2 linked regions of the Elephas maximus indicus genome follow. The protein of the gene in region 2 binds, or shares a complex with, the protein of the main gene of each other region. Links are inferred from orthologs where the notes say so. Each region holds a gene or a part of one and is shown on either strand. Other genes may lie near its edges.

What was found. The genes of interacting proteins can lie anywhere in the genome.
Region 1: POLR3C (region 2) and CRCP share a complex: the UniProt entries of both Homo sapiens proteins name them as parts of the RNA polymerase III complex. The link is inferred for Elephas maximus indicus from reciprocal best matches to the Homo sapiens genes POLR3C and CRCP.

What each region holds. Positions count from the first base shown.
Region 1 is NC_064830.1:103,355,005-103,365,148, forward strand, and holds the start of CRCP (DNA-directed RNA polymerase III subunit RPC9), read left to right. Parts: upstream 1-5,579; 5' UTR 5,580-5,689; coding exon 5,690-5,697; intron 5,698-10,144. UniProt on the Homo sapiens protein: DNA-dependent RNA polymerase catalyzes the transcription of DNA into RNA using the four ribonucleoside triphosphates as substrates.
Region 2 is NC_064821.1:157,752,538-157,762,066, forward strand, and holds the start of POLR3C (DNA-directed RNA polymerase III subunit RPC3), read right to left. Parts: upstream 4,715-9,529; 5' UTR 4,625-4,714; intron 3,348-4,624; exon of another isoform or gene 3,263-3,347; intron 3,172-3,262; 5' UTR 3,151-3,171; coding exon 3,004-3,150; intron 2,499-3,003; coding exon 2,243-2,498; intron 2,133-2,242; coding exon 1,947-2,132; intron 926-1,946; coding exon 837-925; intron 1-836. Other genes in the region: E3 ubiquitin-protein ligase RNF115, read left to right, coding at 5,144-5,233. UniProt on the Homo sapiens protein: DNA-dependent RNA polymerase catalyzes the transcription of DNA into RNA using the four ribonucleoside triphosphates as substrates.

The DNA.
Region 1 (10,144 bases), on a different chromosome or scaffold from region 2:
AAGATGGATGTCAGAGGAGACTCTGAAACTTGCTCTTGAGTGTCGGACAGCTAAAGCAAAAGGAAGAATTGATGAAGTAAAAGAACTGAAGATTTCAGAGGACCTCTCGAGAAGACAAAGTATTATAATGACACATGCAAAGAGCTGGAGATGGAAAACCAAAAAGGAAGAACACTTTCGACGTTTCTCAAGCTGAAAGAACTGAAGAAAAAATTCAAGCCTCGAGTTGCAATAGTGAAGGATTCCATGGGGGAAAATATTAAACGACGCAGGAAGCATCAAAAGAAGATGGAAGGACTACACAGAGTCAGTATACCAAAAAGAATTAGTCGATATTTAACCATTTCAAGAGGTGGCATATGATCAGGAACCGATGCTACTGAAGGAAGAAGTCCAAACTGCTCTGAAGGCATTGGTGAAAAACAAGGCTCCAGGAATTGATGGACTATCAATTGAGATGTTTCAACAAACAGATGCAGTGCTGGAGGTGTTCACTTGTCTATGCCAAGAAATATGGAAGACAGCTTCCTGGCCAACTGACTGGAAGAGATCCACATTTATGCCTATTCCCAGGAAAGGTGATCCAACCAAATGTGGAAATTATAGAACAATTTTTATCATTAATATCACACACAAGCAAAATTTTGCTGAAGACCATTCAAAACTGGCTGCAGCAGTATATCGACAGGGAACTGCCAGAAACTCAGGCCAGTTTCAGAAGAGGACATGGAACCAGGGATATCATTGCTGATGTCAGATGGATCCTGGCTGAAAGCAGAGAATACCAGAAGGATGTTTACCTGTGTTTTATTGACTATGCAAAGGCATTTGACTGTGTGGATCATAACAAACTATGGATAACACTGCGAAGAATGGGAATTCCAGAACACTTAATTGTGCTCATGAGGAAACTTTACATAGATCAAGAGGCAGTTGTTCGGACAGAACAAGGGGATACTGAGTGGTTTAAAGTCAGGAAAGGTGTGCGTCAGGGTTGTATTCTTTCACCATACCTATTCAATCTGTATGCTGAGCAAATAATACGAGAAGCTCGACTATATGAAGAAGAACGGGGCATCAAGATTGGAGGAAGACTCCTTAACAACCTTCGTTATGCAGATGACACAACCTTGCTTGCTGAAAGTGAAGAGTACCTGAAGCACTTAGTAATGAAGATCAAAGACCACAGCCTTCCGTGTGGATTACACCTCAACATAAAGAAAACAAAAATCCTCGCGACTGGATCAATGAGCAACATCATGATAAACGGACAAAAGATTGAAGTTGTCAAGTATTTCGTTTTACTTGGATCCACAATCAACAGCCATGGAAGCAGCAGTCAAGAAATCAAAAGACGCGTTGCATTGGGCAAATCTGCTGCAAAGGACCTCTTTAAAGTGTTGAAGAGCAAAGATGTCACCCTGAAGACTAAGGTGCGCCTGTCCCAAGCCATGGTATTTTCAATCACATCATATGCATGTGAAAGCTGGACAATGAATAAGGAACACAGAAGAAGAGTTGACGCTTTTGAATTGTGGTGTTGGAGAAGAATATTGAATATGCCATGGACTGCCCAAAGAATGAACAAATCTGTCTTGGAAGAAGTGCAGCCAGAATGCTCCTTAGAGGCAAGGATGGCGAGACTGTGTCTTACATACTTTGGAGATGTAGTCAGGAGGGATCAGTCCCTGGAGAAGGACATCATGCTTGGCAGAGTACAGTGTCAGCGGAAAAGAGGAAGACCCCTTAACGAGGTGTTTTGACACAGTGGCTGGAACAATGAGCTCAAGCATAACAATGATTGTAAGGATGGCTCAGGACTGGGCAGTGTTTCGTTCTGTTGTGCGTAGGGTCACTATGAGTCGGAACCGACTCGATGGCACCTAACAACAACAACGTTAACGGAAGGAGCCCCGGTGGCGCAGTGGTTAAGTGCTTGGCTGCTAACTGAAAGGTGGCTGCTGTTCATTGTGGATCCAAGTAAAATGAAATCCTCAACAACGTCAGTATTTTCTCCATTTATCATGATGTTGCTTATTGGTCCAGTTGTGAGGATTTTGTCTTCTTTATGTTGAGATGTAAGCCACACTGAAGCCTGTAGTCTTTCTTTTTTTTTTAATTGTAGTTTAAGTGAAAGTTTTCAGCTCAAGTTAGTTTCTCATACAAAAATTTATACACATTATTATTGACCCTAGTTGCTCTCCCTGTAATGTGACAGGACACTCCTCTTTTCCACCCTGTATTCTCGTGTCCATTCAACCAGCTCCTGTCCCTTTCTGCCTTCTCACCTCTCCTACGGAAAGGAGCTGCCCATTTTGTCTCATGTACCCACTTGAAATAAGAAGCACACTCTTCACGAGTATCATTTCATGTCTCATAGTCCAATTGAATCTTTGTCTGAAGAGTTGGCTTTGGGAATGGTTTTAGTTCTGGATTGACAAAGCATCCAGGGGCCATGTCTTCTGGGGTTCGTCCAGGCTTAGTCAGACCACTAAGTCTGGTCTTTTTACTAGAATTTGAGTTCTGCACTCCACTTTTCTCCTGTTCCGTTAGGGACTCTGTTGTGTTCCCTGTCAGGGCCATCGTTGGTGGTAGCCAGGCACCAACTAGTTCTTCTGGTCTCAGGCTGATGGAGTCTGTAGTTTATGTGGCCCTTTTTGTCTCTTGGGCTAGTATTTTCCTTGTGTCTTTGGTGTTATGCACTCTCCTTTGCTCCAGGTGGGTTGGGACCCATTGACGCATCTTAGATGGGCACTCGGTAGGTTTTAAGATCACAGATACTACTTACCAAAGTGGAATGCAGAATATTTTCTTGAAGACTGTAGTCTTTGATCTTCATCAGTAAGTGCTTCAAGTCCTCTTCATTTTCAGTAAGCAAGGTTGTATTATCTGCGTATCGCAGGTTGTTAATGAGCCTTTCTCTAATCCTGATGCCCCGTTATTCTTCATATAGTCCAGCTTCTCAGATTATTTGCTTAGCGTATAGATTGAATAAGGATGGTGAAAGGATACAACCCTGACGCATACGTTTCCTGACTTTAAACCACGCAGTATCTCCTTGTTCTTTTTGAACAACTGCCTCTTGATCCATGTACTGATTCCTCATAGGCACTATAAAGTGTTCTGGAATTCCCATTCTCCGCAATGTTATCCATAGTTTGTTAAGATCCACACAGTCGAATGCCTTTGTATAGTCAATAAAACATGGGTAAACATCTTCCTGGTGTTCTCTGCTTTCAACCAGGATCCATCTGACATCGGCAATGATATCCCTGGTTCCATGTCCTCTTCTGAATCTGGCTTGAATTTCTGGCAGTTCCCTGTTGATGTATCACATCACATACCGTACAATTCACCGACTTAAAGTGGAAAATTCAATGCTTTTAGTATATTCACTGAGTTGTGTAGCCATCACCACAATTCAATTTTGAAACATTTTCAACCCCCTAAAAGAAACCCCATGCCCATTAGCTGCCACTGTCTAATTCCCCTCCTCACCCCCAGCCATAAGCAACTCCTAATTTACTTTCCATCTTTCTTGGTTATCTAGTGCTGCTATAACAGAAATACCACGAGTGAGTATCTTTAACAAAGAGAGATTTATTCTCTCACAGTTTAGGAGGCTAGAAGTCTGAATTCATGGTGCCAGCTCCAGGGAAAGGCTTTCGCGCTCTGTCAACTCTAGGGGAAAGTCCTTGTCATCAATCTTCCCTGGTCTAAGAACTTCTCGGCACAGGAACCCCGGATCCAAAGGATGTGCTCTGCTCCTGGCACTACTTTCTTGATGCTATGAGGTCCCTCTGTCTTTCTGCTTTCTTCTCTCTCTTATATCTCAAAGAGAGTGACTCAAGATACAACCTAATCTTATAGATTGAGTCCTGCCTCATTAACATAACTGTCTCTAATCCTGCCTCATTAGTATCATAGAGGTAGGATTTACAACACATAGGAAAATCACATGAGATGACAAAATGCTGGACAATCACACAATACTGGGAAGTGGACACACATTTTGGGGGGACACAATTCGATCCATAACACTGTCTCTATAGATTTGACTATTTTGGACATTTCATAGAAATGACATCATACAATGACTTCTTTCCCTTAGCACAATGGTTTTGAGGGTCATTCACGTTATACCATGTGTCAGTAAGTACTTTATTCCAAATGGTATTATTTTATTGTATGAATATAGGACACTTTATCAATTCACCAGTCACTATTAACAATTTAATATGCCTCCTGTATTTGTTCAGATTGTGTGGTTTGAATCCCTACTGGACAAGTTTGGAGGTGAGAAACTTGGGTAAATAGTAATCTCTCCAAGCCTCTGCCTCAGTTTCCTCAATTGTAAAATGTGAATAATAATGAAACTGGGTTGGGTAGAGTGTCATGGGTGTACTTTTAAAATTTCTTGAGCTTTATATGGATTACCTAACAGATTTATGATTTACAGATTAGGTCATTGACGCTGGGAGAGGTTAAGTCCCCAAGGTCAAACATCCTCTAAGAAAGTTCTGGGGGTAAACAGGAACACGGGCTCTCTGACTGCAAAGCCCGCACCGTTAACTGGTAATTCCATGGAGTAACAAATTGTTTAGCAAGGGCCTTGCAAAGAGAATGAGCTTGAGAATCAATAAACGTGAAAGTATAAAAAAGGAACAAATCAGCAATTGACTCATCATCAGAAGGCACCTGCCATCATTAATATTTCAGATATTTCCTTCCAGTCTTTTAAAGAAATATTTCAAACATACGAAGATGATAATAGATATCCACCACAATCGCCATTTTTTTTAAAGTCATAAAATGTAATAAATCGGATAGCTCTACCTCCCATACCGTTAGGCATTTTTTTTTCCTATGCATAGAGGCACTCTGAAGATAGGCCTGGCAATCTACTTCTGAAAAATCAGCCGTTGAAAACTCTGTAGAGCACAGTTCTGCTCTGGCACAGGGGTCGTCACGAGTCAGAATCAAATTGACTGCAACTGCTTCGTTGGTTGGTTATTTTTCTGTAGATAATTAGAAGCACGCGTTGTTTTGTATGTTTTTCAATCCTACTTTGAGTATTTTCCTAGCATATCACATCTTTTACATGATTTTTCATGGCTGCATATATTGTATGGCTGTAACATAATTCAATCGATTCCCCATTATTGGGCATTTCGGTCATTTCCCAGCAAAAACATCACTACACATACATCTCTCTCTTTCAAGCATCTGATAATTCCCTTTGGAGAAATTCCCAGAAAGGCCCCACAGTCAGAGACTGTGGCTGGCTTTAAGGCTCTTCATATCTCTTGCCAGTAAACCCTCAAGGAAAAATGGGAACGGGTTGGGGGGGGGGGGGGCTGGGATTTTTTTTTTCCACTTTTAAAAAACATTTTATTCAATTGTAACACACGTACAGAAAACTGCACAGAAGTCTACGACTCCCTGAATTTTCAGACACTGAACGCATTCGCGTACCCAACACGCTGATTAAACAGATACTTTCCTGCTCCCTGAAGCCCCGCCCCATCACCGCCCCCTGAGGGCTCCCGGCGTGCAGCGCGGCGATCCCAGCATGCACCGCGACGCAGACCGGCGACAGGGGGTGCTCAGCGTGGAGAGCTGGAGTTGTGGCGGCTCAGGTTGAGGTTTTTAGTCACCTGGCGGCCGGAGGCGACGAGACGGGGACGACATGGAAGTGTAAGCCACCCGGGACGCGTTTTGGAGTCTGGAGCCGGCGCTAACAGCTAGGGGCGACTGGACCGTTGAAAGCCGAGAGACGGGAGGATGGGGCGACCCGTCGCATGGGGGAACCGCAGTCGGGGAGGGCCCGTGGGGTCCAGGTGGGCGCAGAAGAGAGAGACTCGTGCTTCCGTCCGAGCCTTTGTACCTGGGACACCGGGCCGAGCGCCCCTGGGCCCGGCTGCTTTTTCCTCTGTGCCTTCTCTCTGCCCCGTTCGTTTAAAAGCGTTTTCTGGGTCACAGTGGGAAACCCGGGCCGGTATCCGAGCGGGGACTCGGAGAGGAGTACACCCCTGGGAGTACCAGGAGGGGGGCGGAGAAGTGCTGGGATGGAAGTGCTCCTGCGGGCAGGAGGCCCCTGTGCCTTCCTAACTCGGGAGAGGTGCCATCCAAGTTTGACGAGCAGTTAGGGAGAGCGTGAGCCTCGACTGGAGAAACAGCCCTGTGTGGGGTTGTGTTTATTAAAAAAAATAAACAAAAAAACAAACCCATTGCTGTTGAGTGGATTCCGACTCATAGTGACCCTATAGGACAGGGTAGAACTGCCCCAAAGAGTTTACATCGAGCGCCTGGTGGATTCGAACTGCTGACCTTTTCGTTAATAGCCATAGCACTTGACCACCAGGCCACCAGGGTTTCTTGCGTGTTTACAGGACAGAGTAAAAGCTCTTCTAACAATTTAACTCGACGTTGTTTTTTCCATATTTGCCCATTGTACTACATGCAAATAGAAGTTTTTGTATCAACCCCGCGGATGGGTTTTTACGTGGTTGACGTTAACTTGAAGACATACCTATATTGTGTTCTCCGTAGCACTGATGGAAACCCTGGTGGCGTAGTGGTTAAGTGCTACGGCTGCTAACCAAGAGGTCGGCAGTTCCAATCCACCAGGCACTCCTTGCAAACTATGGAGCAGTTCTACTCTGTCCTGTAGGGTCGCTGTGAGTCGGAATTGACTCGATGGCAGTGGGTTTCGTTTGGGTTTTTGGTATAGCACTGATTATTTAATACACACATTTTATTTTGTGTTCTTTCATCTTATGTTTAATGGTTATATGCTGTGCAGACCTTTTTTTTTTTTAACCTTAACACATCTAAGCGTAATTGAAACAAAAGTTACATGAAACAATGTTTACTGTATGCAGTTCACTCTGATACTGTCTGTTCTGTTTCATTAAAAAGGATGTCCACATGACCTACTGTATTGATTTCACAACCCACAATGGGGTTCAATCTACACCTTGAAAAACACTAATTATGTATTATTCTGGTCCAAGCGGGCATCATCAATTTCTCCGTTTTTGCTAGAGCATTTCCTGTTAGCGTACAAACCTGTTTTAATTTATACATCTTGAAATACCTTGGAATAGTCCACTTTCAGGTCTCCACCTACTGCCTCATTTCTGCTTCCTGGCACAGCAGAACTTCTTGGAAGTGCTGTTTATCCTCACTCTCTAAGCCATTGAGTTGGACTTTCATCCTTTCCAGTGTGCAGAAGTGACTCTTGTGAAGATGACCTGAGTCTTCCTTCTGTCTTGTCAAATCCAAAGGTTGATTTTCTGGCTTCACCTTTCTTGATCTCTCAGCAGCAATTGCTATACTTACCTACTCATTTGTTCTGGAAACTCTTCATTGGCTTTATGGCATGCTCTCCTGGTTTTCGTCCTACATCAAGGACTACTACTCAGTCCTTTCCTGGAGCCACCTCTCCCTTGTTTGGTTCCTAAATGTTGAAGTTTCAGGGCTCAGTCCTGGGATGCATTCTCTCACACTCTCCCTTGGTCATCTTACCCACCTATATGCTGATTATTCTTAAAATTATGTTTCTAAGTTCTGTTCTCTCTCTTGAGCTCTAGGCTCCTGTTCTCTTCTACTTGCTTGACACCTCCACTTGGATGTCTAAAAGGCAACTCACACTTAGCAGTTTTAAAACAGAACTACTTATGCTCCCTTCCTGGTCCTTACCTAACCTAACCTGTATCTCAGTTATTAGGACCATTACCCATTCAATTGCTTAAACCAAAAATCTAGTCCCCTTTTCCTTCACCCCTAAATCCAGTCCATCATGGACTGTTACCTCCACCTTCAGAATACGTTTTGAATGTAGTTATTTTTCACCATCTCTGCTGCTAATTTTCTAGTCCTTCATCTCTTGTCTGGATTAAGCAACAGCATTTGGCTTCCCCTCTTGTCCACTTCCATTTCATTTGAAAGAACGATCTTAAAGTATTAGATTGTATCACCCCTTTTGTAAAACCCTTCATTTGCTTTCCATTGCACTTAGAGGAAATCCAAATTCCTTATTAGGATTACAGTGCAGTGAACTACTTAATATGGTCCGTTTAGGCATACTCTTTGTGATTCCCACACAATGATTGGGTGGGGCTATGCAAATAAGGTGCTTGTGGCCCACCAAGGGGATTGGGCAACTTGTAGCTAATGCAAATAAGGTACATGGCACCCTTGTGGGGATGGGGCCATGCAAATAACGTGTATGGAACCCTAATGAGGGGATTGGTCAGTTTTGCCATCCCATTAGGCTTAAAATGAGCTATCCCAGAGGCAGAAAAGGGAATCTCACTACTACCAAGAAAGAAAAGCTAGGAATGGAACTCATCCTTTGAACTCGGGATCCCTGCACTGAGAACCTCCTAGACCCAGGAGACAGAGAGCTGCAACACTGGAGATGGCAAGAGATGGCGGCAGCAGAACCAGGAGGCTGGCGCCAGAAGGCACAGTGAGCTTCTTGGCCCGTGGAGTAAGGCATTTGCGGCGGGTGTGCAGACACAGAGCCAGTGAGCTGAGCACCTTAAGACCAAAGCTTCCGGGCAGAGTAGGGTGTCTCTAGGAACTTATTGGCGGAGCTAGAGAACTTTGTAACACTTGCCCAAGCAGGGCAGAGGCCAGGCTGAGGGGCTGAAAGCCAGGGAGAGGCCTGTGCCTGCAGGCATGGCTGAGAAGAGGCTGTCCTGTTCAAAGAACTGTATCCTGAGTCGTTTCTGATCCTGGATTGTAACCTGTTATTGGCCTAATTAACCCCATTGTCATGAGTATTGTCTTTGAGTTCTGTGTGGCCATTGTGCTGAATTACCAAACCCAGCAAAGGAGTAGAGAGTGCTGTGGGAGGGATGGCTGATGTCAGAATTGGTGAAAAGGTTGGAGGGTGGAGGTATGTTTGACATCCACCTCATAGGAATCAGCCTTTTGCTGTTGCTGATTTTGATTCTCTCTTCTCCCCCTCCTGAATTTGGAGGAGGTCAGATGCCCCCACCATGCAGTTTTTACAAGGAGACTTACAGGACCCTGTGTAACCTGGCTACTCACCAGACTTATCTCTTGCCACTCTTCCTACCTCCCAGACACACACACTGTACTCCAGCCATGCGGGCAGTCGGAAAGTTCCTCCAACCTTCCAAGTCCTTTCCTACCTCAGAATTTTTGCTTTGCTGATTCCTCTGCCTGGTATGTGTCTCCCCCTTCCCAGCTTCCTTATCTTTTTGATAGCTCAGCTTGAGTGTCTCTTTTAAAAGTTGTCTTTCCTTTTCAGTCAATTCAAAATAAGTCTTCTTTTGTCTCTCACAGCACCCTCATTTATTTTCCACTTAAATAATTATAAGTTGTTACAATAGATAACGTGTTTACTTGTTTAGTGCCTGGGTTGTCTCCCCCACCAGAGTGTAAGCTCCAGGAGGGCAGGGACCAACCTCTGTTTGTTCACCTCCTGCTTAGCACTGCATGTAGCACACAGTAGGCATTCAGCAAATACTTGTTGAATAAAGTAATATTGCGATACTTCATCAGTTTAATAAGTAAAAATGGGTTAGCTAGTATCCTAATTGCTAGGCATATAGATTTTCTGATTTTTCTAAGTGAAATGGTTTGAATCAAGGTTTTTTACTCATTTAACAACCTGTCCCCTTCTCCCAAGGAGTCAGTGACTTCTTGAAACCAGTCAAGAATTTTGCAGCTAGCAATTTATGGGGAAATGGAGTTTTGGGAGGGAGGCTCTAGGTTCTGGGAGTGGGAGCACCCCTGGAATGGAAGGGTCTGGGGGCCTGACTTCTAGTTCCTGCCCGTCAGGCGTGACCTCTCGTAGCCTGGTCCTCAGGATCTGCAGCAGAATGCTGAGTCTGAGAGCGAGCACATTGTGTCCGTCAGGGATGACAAGGCAGGAACGGAAAACTCCCCTGAGTTCTGACTACTGTTTTTTTCAGTCACAGAGTGAGCAACACATAAAAACATACACCAGAAATTTTGAAAAGGGAGATGATATATATGCTTTATTAGATTGGATGGCAGAATTTAAAAATAGCTTTTTGATCATTTTTTTCCCCTCAGGTAAAAGGTGTTATGGATTGAGTTACATCCCCTCAAAAATGTGTGTATCGATTTGTCTGGGCCATGA
Region 2 (9,529 bases):
ATAAGAGTGAGAGTGGAAAGAGTACAGATTTCGAAAAGATCACATAAGGCTTAGTAGTCCATAGTAAAGGGCTTGGACTTCTTCTAAGATTAACTGAAAACTATTAGACGAGTCTAAGCATTAATGTGTTTGGATTTTTTTAAAACAACTTAGAAAGTCATTTTGGCTGTTAAGTAGTAAGAATCCGGGTAAGGAGATTATTTAGGAGAGTGTTGGTGAAGTCTTGACAAGAGATGATAGTGACTTGGACTAGGTCAATAGCAGTGGAAAAGGTGAGAAGTGGTTGGATTTGAGGGAATTTTAGAAACAGAGCTGACAGGTTTTACCACTAGATTGGATGGCTCCTAGGTTTTGGCTGAAGTCAATAGTGGTATCCTTTACTAAGAAGTGGCAAGCTTAAGAGGGAACAAATATCTGCAGAGAAATCAACTATTCTGTTTTGGCCATGTTAATTTCGAAATACTTACTAGACATCCTTATAGGGATGCTGAGAAGGCATTTGGATATAAATCCTAGGCCTAGGTATATATTTCTAGAGTCATTTCTCACCATTGGCCTCCACGGGTCTCTATGTTCTGGCTATACTAAACAACTTAAGTTTTTTCCAGGCCCTCTTTTTGCATAAATGTTACTTCTGTTCAATGAATGAAGTTACGCCTTAAAAATAAATAAGAGTGTTCATTCTACATTAGTCTATTCCTGGCCAATATTTAATGAAGTTCATAATCCTACTAGTTCTCAGCTCAGGAACTTTTAGGCTGTCTTGGGGCTTGTTATCTGGGTGCTCTTCCTGGCCTGTCTCAGGGTGAGGACTCCCCATCAAGCAGCCCCATTACCTCTTTGTTCTCTGTGGTATGTTTTAGTCTCTTGGCCTTCGGCTCCCCAGCAGCATCTTCCTCAGATGATCTCCTCCTTTTACCTTTTCCTTCCAAATAAAACAGAACAGTTAGGCTACATCTCACGTGATGACAAGAAATGACCAAACATAAGAACCAGTGTCTCTTCATCCTAAGCTGCCTCTAGGTTAGAGTTGCTTAGGAGGCTGAGGAACTATAAGAAACGCAAGTAAATGATGAAGGCATCTGAAACTCAACATGTTCAAAAAGAAATTCATAATCTTTCTCCTTCACACTGGTCTTCCTCCAATGTTTCCTTTCACAGCGAATGGCATACATCCTCCCACACATGCAAGTCAGATGCCTAGATGATATTCTTAATACCTCTGCCTCCATCACCCCTTCTATATTTAGTTTTCACTGTTCTGTCCACATTTACCATTGTCCCATCCTCCCATCCTTTCTGTACACAGTAACATCTTTTAAAAATGTAAATTAGATCATGTCACTTCCCTGCTTAAAATTCTAAAGTGGTTATTCCTTGCTTTTAGGATAAAGAACAGATGCTCTGTACAGTGCTGCTTGATCTGGCCCCTGCCTATCTCTCTAACCTTACGTCTCTCTTGCCTTTGCACATCATGCTTTAGTGACACTGACCTTCTTACGGTTCCTCAAACATCCTATTTTTTTTCTCCCTACATGCTATTCCCTTTGCCAAAAATGCTTACCTTTGTACCCCTCCATGCTCCCTCATTGGTTGGCTCCTACTTCAGCTTCAAATCTTAGCTGTGATGTCATTTTCTCAAAGAAGGATGTGCCCTAAGCCCTCAGTCCCTGTTATATATTATAAAAGTATAACACTCTATAGTTTTCCTTCACAGTATTTATCACAGTTTGTTATTCTATATTTACGTGATTATTTGATTAATGCACATCTCCTATACTAAAGTCCCGTAACAGCAGGGGTCACGCTGGTTTTTTCATTATTATATACCACAACTTCTGCACATACCAATCACTTGATGAATACTCGATTCATGCATTCATTTAAAAATGACGAAGAGTCCACAGTTAGGACAAATCACAATTTGAAAAGTCAAAATTCCTTACCTATCAAGCTCAGTTTAGGAACTAGGTACATGTCCTTTTCATTAATGACAAGAGTGGGAGCAGGTGGCGGTGGCCCAGGGTCTGAATTCTCAGTGGCAGGTACCAAGGGACAGCGCTGCACAAAGTGTGTGTCTGCCAGTCGCACAAAAGTGTTTGATACCTCAGCATAATCCATGGTCTTGCCATCTGTACAACAGGAGCAAAGGGGCAGATTAGACGGTCTAAGATAGCTAAGGGTCTGCTCCTGCAGCCCCATAATCTAAGCTTTGGCTAGCAGCTGTGGATACAGTACTGACCCTCCATTGTCTCTGTGAGCCGGTCTGCCACTTTCTTCACGACAGCTGACATTGTCATTTTGCCATTCAACAGCAGCTCCTCAACAATTAGCTCTCCAGTGTCACTGTACAGCGTTTTGGAAGTATAGATGTACCGGGGATACCTCAGCATTCGTAATACCCGGCTGCACTGGGCTTCATACTCCACCACACCACGTTTGTGTACTTGGTATGTCACCAGGTTATGTTGGATAAGGACACAAAGGGCTTTTTTAACCTAGGTAGAACCCAAAGAAAGAGAGACCTGAAGACATAGCTCAATATTGCTGGCAATTTTTGTCCAACGGTTTTCTAAGCACCAGGAGATAGCTGGAGAGGAATCTCTGTGCTGCTTCTCTCTCCCCTGGAGTAGTTAATAAGAACCACATGTCAATGGAAGAAATCTGGACAATTCCTTCCTGATGCTTCTATTCCCTCTGATTCTTTCAAAGTACAATTTGCTCTCTCTCTCTCATTCCTTAAAGGTAGTACTGAGATTAATAGAATCATAGTAAACAAATGAGGCATGGAATGGGAAGAGGAATGACTTGCCTAAGAAGCCACAATGAACTAGGAACATTTTGAAAAGCAGGACCTTGGGGCTTAAGTCCCATTCTCTTTCCCCCAAACAACATGGTTCTGATTCTAGGGCAGGTTTCCTCCCTTTTCCATTTTCTTGGGTGGGCAGTAACAATATTTAAAGGTAGGTGACAGAAGTGTACATTAATGCTATTTAAACATACCTGATCCAGTGATGTTCCTGTGTCATGGGCAATTACTCTTAGTGGTTGGCTACCAGTTCTGATTAGGTGGACTCCAATTTTTTCTACGATCTCTCCAAAATGCTCTTGCAGCAACAAAGAACACAGCTTAATTTCTGCTTGGGTCATTGTACTTGAGGGGCTTCAGAGCTAGGAAAAAAAGTATATGATGGGAAATTTTGCTTTTATGTTGCGTGTAGAGCGTGTTTACTGTAGACTTGCTGAGTATAAATTCACGTACTCTTTCTGGAGGGTGATGTAGCAATATATTTCAAAAGTCTTAAAATCTTGCACACTTTTGGCCCAGCAATTTCATTGTGAGTACTCTGTCCCCAGGAAATAATAAAAACACGTCACTGTAGTTCTCGTTAAAATACTAGAAACAATCTAGTATCCTAGCAATAAGGACTCAGTTCAATAAATTATGGTATCTCCATACGATAGAATACTATACCCACATTTAAAACGACATATAGTATGTATGTGTTAACAAAAAAGTTGTTCATAATGTATTAAGTGAAAAAAGCAAGTTACAAAGCAAAACGTGGAGTAAAATTGAATTATTGTAAAAACAAACAAAAAACACGTATGCATAGAAAACAAGGCTAGAATGTGTACAGCATCAAATTTATCTTTATGAGATTATGTACGATGAAAAATTTTTTTTTAAGTTTGGCTGTAGATGGTTTTGTGATCTGTCACAGACCTTAGATTCTATTGCTTGGAAGAAGTGAGTGTTCACAGCCCACTAGGAGTGACCAGGCAGTGTCAGTCCCAGTTGGTTAAGGAAAATGAAATTAGGAGGTAGAGCTTCTTAACAGGACAGGGTCCTTCAAACAGGAGATGAAGTATGCTGTTTACAGGGCAGTATTTAATTATGAAATTTCTACTCCTTGACAAAATAGACACAAACCAAAATGGACATAGCTAATTATACGATTAAACCACTTGCACTGGAGTCATTCTGGCTCATGGCAACCCCACGTGTGTTAGGGTAGAACCGCGCTCCGTAGGGTTTTCAACGGCTGATTTTTCGAAGTGGATCACCAGGCCTTTCTAAGGAAATGCCTCTGGGTGGATTCGAATCTTCAACCTTAATGCTTAACTGTTTGCAAAACCCAGGTACTCTTTTTAGGGTTACTTCCTTATGATCACAAACCCAACCAAAACCCACTGCCGTCGGGTCGATTCCGACTCATAGCGACCCTATAAGACAGAGTAGAACCGCCCCATAGAGTTTCCAAGGAGTGCCTGGCGGATTCGAACTGCCGACCTTTTGGTTAGCAGCCGTACCACTTAACCACTACGCCACCAGAGTTTCCTTTTGATCACAAGCTGCTACGAAATACTGGTTGATTCGTGTAGTCCTCCCAACCCCTCAGAATCCAAGTGTTTGTCTCCCAGCCTCAGCGTCGCCAGAGACCTATTTCACCCATCCACATGTCTTTGGAAAAGCATCCCCAGGCCCTTAGCCATCCTCGAAGAGGATTCCTAAGGAGCTTGGCTCCAGCATCTCCACTCCCTTCACGCAGGTTCGCGTTCCGAACTTGGTCTCTTGATCCAGAGCCAAGGCCGCTTCGTTCATACGGCATTTCCCACTAACCTCAGGGTCAATGCAATCCGGGGGCTCCAAACCTAACACCTCGAGTTCATCCCAACGACTTCGCGCGGCTCCCACTAGCCTCCCGGGCAGAGGGAGAGCCCACAGCCCTTTCTCGCAAGAAGACCAACACCCCGGAGAACCAGGAAGCGGTAAAATTGGGGGCCGCTCTACCCCAGAGTTTCAGTGGTTTCCGAGACGCTCTTTCTTTCTTCTCGCTGGAAGGTTGGAGGACCGACGAGGGGCTGTTTGAGGACCCGGCGGGGCGGGCCGCGGCTGGGGGACTCTCTTGCGCCTTTTTGGTGCTGGGGGCGGGCCGCGGGGTCGCGGGCCGCGCCGGCGCCGTCTGGCTGAGCCCAGCGGACTCACGTGACCGACGCGGACTCGGGAGCCGCGGGTCGCACAGAGGAGGCAGCGGTGGCAGCGGCAGCGGCAGCGGAGGCGGCGGCCGTAGCTGGCTAGCAGCGGCCTGGCGAGGGACCGGCCGGCTGCCGTGTCCGCCAGCCGCGGCGGAGGAGGAAAATGGCGGAGGCCTCGGCGGCCGGGACTGCTGTAGCCGCGCACCGGTTTTTCTGCCACTTTTGCAAGGGCGAGGTTAGCCCGAAACTACCGGTAAGAACGCGGTGTCCTCTGCGCTCGGGCACCTGCATGGATTCCTCCTCCCGATAGCCCGGAAACAGGTCTTAAGCTTCCTGCACTGCCCTGATTCCGCTGACTCGGTCCCCGAATACCTGCTGCCCACCGTCTCCGGTCGTTTGTCCCAAGCCCCGGGCGCCGCGGCCCGTATTTTTCTCCTCGGATGCTCCATTTGCCCCTTATTCCATTTCCTGTCTTTACCTGACCCCCTCCTCTTTTTGTCTTCCTTAGCAGCTTCTCCTCTGACAACTCTTCTCCCAATTTTCTTGCACTCTTCATCTTGTCTCCTTCCCACGATGACCTCTCTTCCTCCCCCACCCCATTCTCCTTTGCGCTTTTGCTTCTCACCTTCCCCTATTTCCTTCTCCACTTTTCAGCAGCTCCCTCCTCCCCCTTGTCCCTTCTCCTCCTCGGTGAAGTTGAATAGCGGATTGCTGATGATTGTCACTATTCGGTTGTCTCTAAGGAAGGAAGGAAGAAAGCACGGAAAGGGAGTATTGGAAAGTAAACATAGGGAGAAGAGGGCGATTTTGCTATTCAGTGGTTTCCAGGGTTTTTGCGAAAGTGAAAACAGCAGTGAACTAATGACTTGCAGACTTCCTGAGCTCCCTATCACTTTGGAAGAGAATGGCTTAAGGAAGGAGGCGGAACATATTGTTTCAACTTGGTTTATTTTAGTTGTGATGTTGCCAGTGTCACCTTCCTCACCCACTTCCCTTACTTAAAAAGAAAAAAGATTTAGGACAAAATGTTGGGGACTGCATCCTCTGATACAAAATTGGTTTCACCAGTTTCTGCCAGACTGTTAGCCTCCTAGAGAGGTAGTTCACTGGTTTTGAGGAAAACGCTTTTGCGGCATGCTAATCAGCTCCAGCACCCCAAACCTGAAGCTGTTTTGGGTTGGGTATAGCTGCTGGGGGGAGACCCACCAGGGCGAATGTTAGTTCTACACTTGACCAGCTGTTTTTAGAATTACTTATGGTTGTTCCTTTCCTTAAAAGTCTTTAGGTTTAGTGTTAAGACAGGGTAGCTACGCAAGATAACCTGTGTATTATCTCAGATGCAATCTATGAGAAAGCCTACTGAAGTGTGTCTGCGCGTCTTCTTCTTTCATAGAAACACAAATGGAGTCCAGTGAATAAGCGCCTAAAGGATATTTCTTGCCTTTTCATCTGAAAGTTGTGCTTTTTAAGGCTTTTCCAGCGTTTTTCTTTTCTATCTGCCTACCCCCAATTTCATAGTCATAATTTCATCTAAATGCTACTTAGGTTTGGTTTCTGATTTGGCTGTATGTGTGTGTGTGTGTTTGCTATATTTTAGTGCTGGCAAGAGCAGGTGCCTTGTTTTTTCCCAGCAGACATCAAGAGTTCCCAGAACTCTCACTGAGGGGGTCTGAATGCAGCTAGTAGTGAATAGTGACATGTTGTTGAATGTGATGCCTTATTGAACACTGCAGTCTGAAGCTCTTCTGATCTTTGAGACACTGCTGGTCCTTGCTTTTAAGAATGAGAAAACTTAGTCCAAACCTCCACAATTTAGTATATCTTTTCGTCTTACCACCTGAAGTCCTCACTTCAAAATGCCCTCGGAAAAGTATAACTTGAAAGGCTTTTTAGGTGTTTTTCTAAGCCTTAGAAGCCTGAAGGAGAATTTTTGATATTTCCAAAGTCTGGTTTATTATCTGTCTTGCCCTATTTATAAATTGAAGCCTGACATGGTTAAATATAACTGAATACTTTTTATGTGCATAGAAGGCTCTACTGGATGTTTTGGAGGTGATATGGAAGACTATATGGTCCCTGCCCTTAAAGACCTCCCAATCTTGTTGAGAAGACAAGACAAACATGAGAAAAATAATGTGAGGTGAATGACAATGGATAGTTTGTGAGAGAGCAGGGTGTGGGACAAAGAACTAAGTTTGACCTTTTGTATCTGGTTCTGAAAATAGCCTGAGCAGTTAAGGTGCTCTTTGCCTTTCTAAAATAGCCAGGCAAGTAGGGGCTGTACAGGCCCCATATCTAGCAAACCAAACTGACTTCAAGAAGGGAGGGGGAAGTGATGCAGTCATGCGTATTCGTTGAGGTCCCAATGACTAAGGTACTCTGGGCCTTGAAATCCCTTTTCGGGGGGCTTCCAGGATCAGTCGGAACATCCACGCAGGGGAGAGGGTGAGTGAGGTTTGTGCCTGGGGACAGTGGATCTTGTCTGATGTGTCTCTTTGCTTGTATCCTTTCTGGTTATAATAAATGGGTAGCTGTAAGTATAGGTAATGTTGTCATTGTTGTTAGGAGCTGTCCAGTAGATTCCAAGTCATAGTGTCCCCATGTGCTATAGAGCAAAACACTGCCAAGTCCTGTGCCATCCTCACAATTGTTGCTCTTGGAGCCCGTTGCTGTAGCCACTGAGTCAATCCGTCTTTTAGAGGGTCTTTCTCTTTTTCACTGACCCTCTTCTTTACCAAGCATGATGTCCTTCTCCAGGGACTGATCCCTCCTGATAACATGTCCAGAGTACCTGAGACAGGTCTTGCCATCCTTGCTTCTGAGGAGTATTCTGGCTGTATTTCTTCCAAGACAGATTTATTTGTTCTTCTGGCAATCCATGGTATATTCAATACTCTTTATGAACACCATAAGTATAGGTAATAAAATAGTCTCTGCAAATTTTGTGGGTTCGAACTGCTGACTTTTGCTAGCAGCTGAACGCTTTAACCACTGGACCACCAGGGCTGCTCGCTATGCATTAGGCATGCGGTGTTTGCTGAACTGGATGAATGTCATGAGAAACCTGGGTGTCTCTCTGAGGATAGCCAGATGCTGCTTATCTTATCATGAATAAAATATTTCTTTGTTATGACTGAATTTGCATCTCAAGAGGGTACTGACTTTTTGTGTGTTAGTTGGATGACAAGGTCACCCATGGCTTTAGGCCTCTCAGAACAACAACTGAAACTAAACCCACAGCCTTCAGGTCGATTTCAACTTACAGTGACCCTATAGGACAGAGTAAAACTGCCCAATCAGGTTTCCAAGGAAGCAAACTGCCACATCGTTTTCCCGTGGTTCGTAGCCGAGCGCTTTAACCACTGCACCACCAGGGCTCCTTTTCTCAGAACACCAGAGGCTGGGTATTTACATTAACTTTCAATGAACTACTGCTAGGAAGTTTTCTTCACCCAATCAGTGAGAAGGACTGCTTCACAGCTGTTTTATCTTTTACTGTTTATCCACCAACAGAGCCATGTTCAGTGGGGCTAGGTTGAAAGGTTTTCCACTATTCCCTTATTTTCTCTTCCCAATCTTTGGATACAGCACTTCTTGATATATTTGGAAGTGTGTGCAGACAGTAGCAGTAGCAGTAGCTTACCCAAGGTTCAACTCAGAAACTAAGTTTTAGTTTATTGTTTTTCTTGTCAGTTCTGCTACTCTGAAAGATTCATGGACCCAGCTAACTTTAGTGTCTGTGTTAAGAGAAATAGTTTTGGCTATAACTTTTGAGAGCTTGGAGCATGCGTAATGCTGTGTAGGTTAAACTACATGTAGGTTGAGTTTATTTGATTTGATGAAATAATATTCCTTACTGCTAATCCTAAGGAGCCCTGGTGGTGCAGTGGTTAAGTGCTCAACTGCGAACCTAAAGGTTAGCGGTTCAAACCCACCAGCTGCTCCTCGGGTGGAAGATTCCCTCCCCCTCAGAAAAACAAACCTATTGCCATCGAGTGGATTCCCACTCCTAGCGACCCTACAGGACAGAGTAGAATTGCCCCATAGGGTTTCCAAGGAGCACCTGGTGGATTCGATCTGCCGACCTTTCGGTTAGACCCTGTAGCTCTTAACCACTACACCACCAGGATTTCTTCCGTAAAGATTACAGCCTTGGAAACCCTATGGGGCAGTTCTACTCTCTCCAGTAGGGTCACTGTGAGTCAGAATTGGGTTATGGGTATTGCTAATTCTGATCTAGCAATTTTGGCTTTGTATGTCTGGTTTGGATCCTCCCACATAATAGGACACAAGATTCATTTAGAAAGAAGTTATAAGGAGAACTCGTGAAGGGCATTAAAAAAAAAAATTGTGCTTATTTTATTGTGAGAATATGCACAGCAAAACGTACACCAATTCAACAGTTCTACATGTAACATTCAGTGACGCTGATTATGTTCTCTGAGTTGAGTAACCACTCTCACTCTCCTTTTCTGAGTCGTCACTTCCTTATTAACATAAAATCACTGCCCCTAAGGTTCCTGTCTAATCTTTTGAGTTGCTCTGGTCA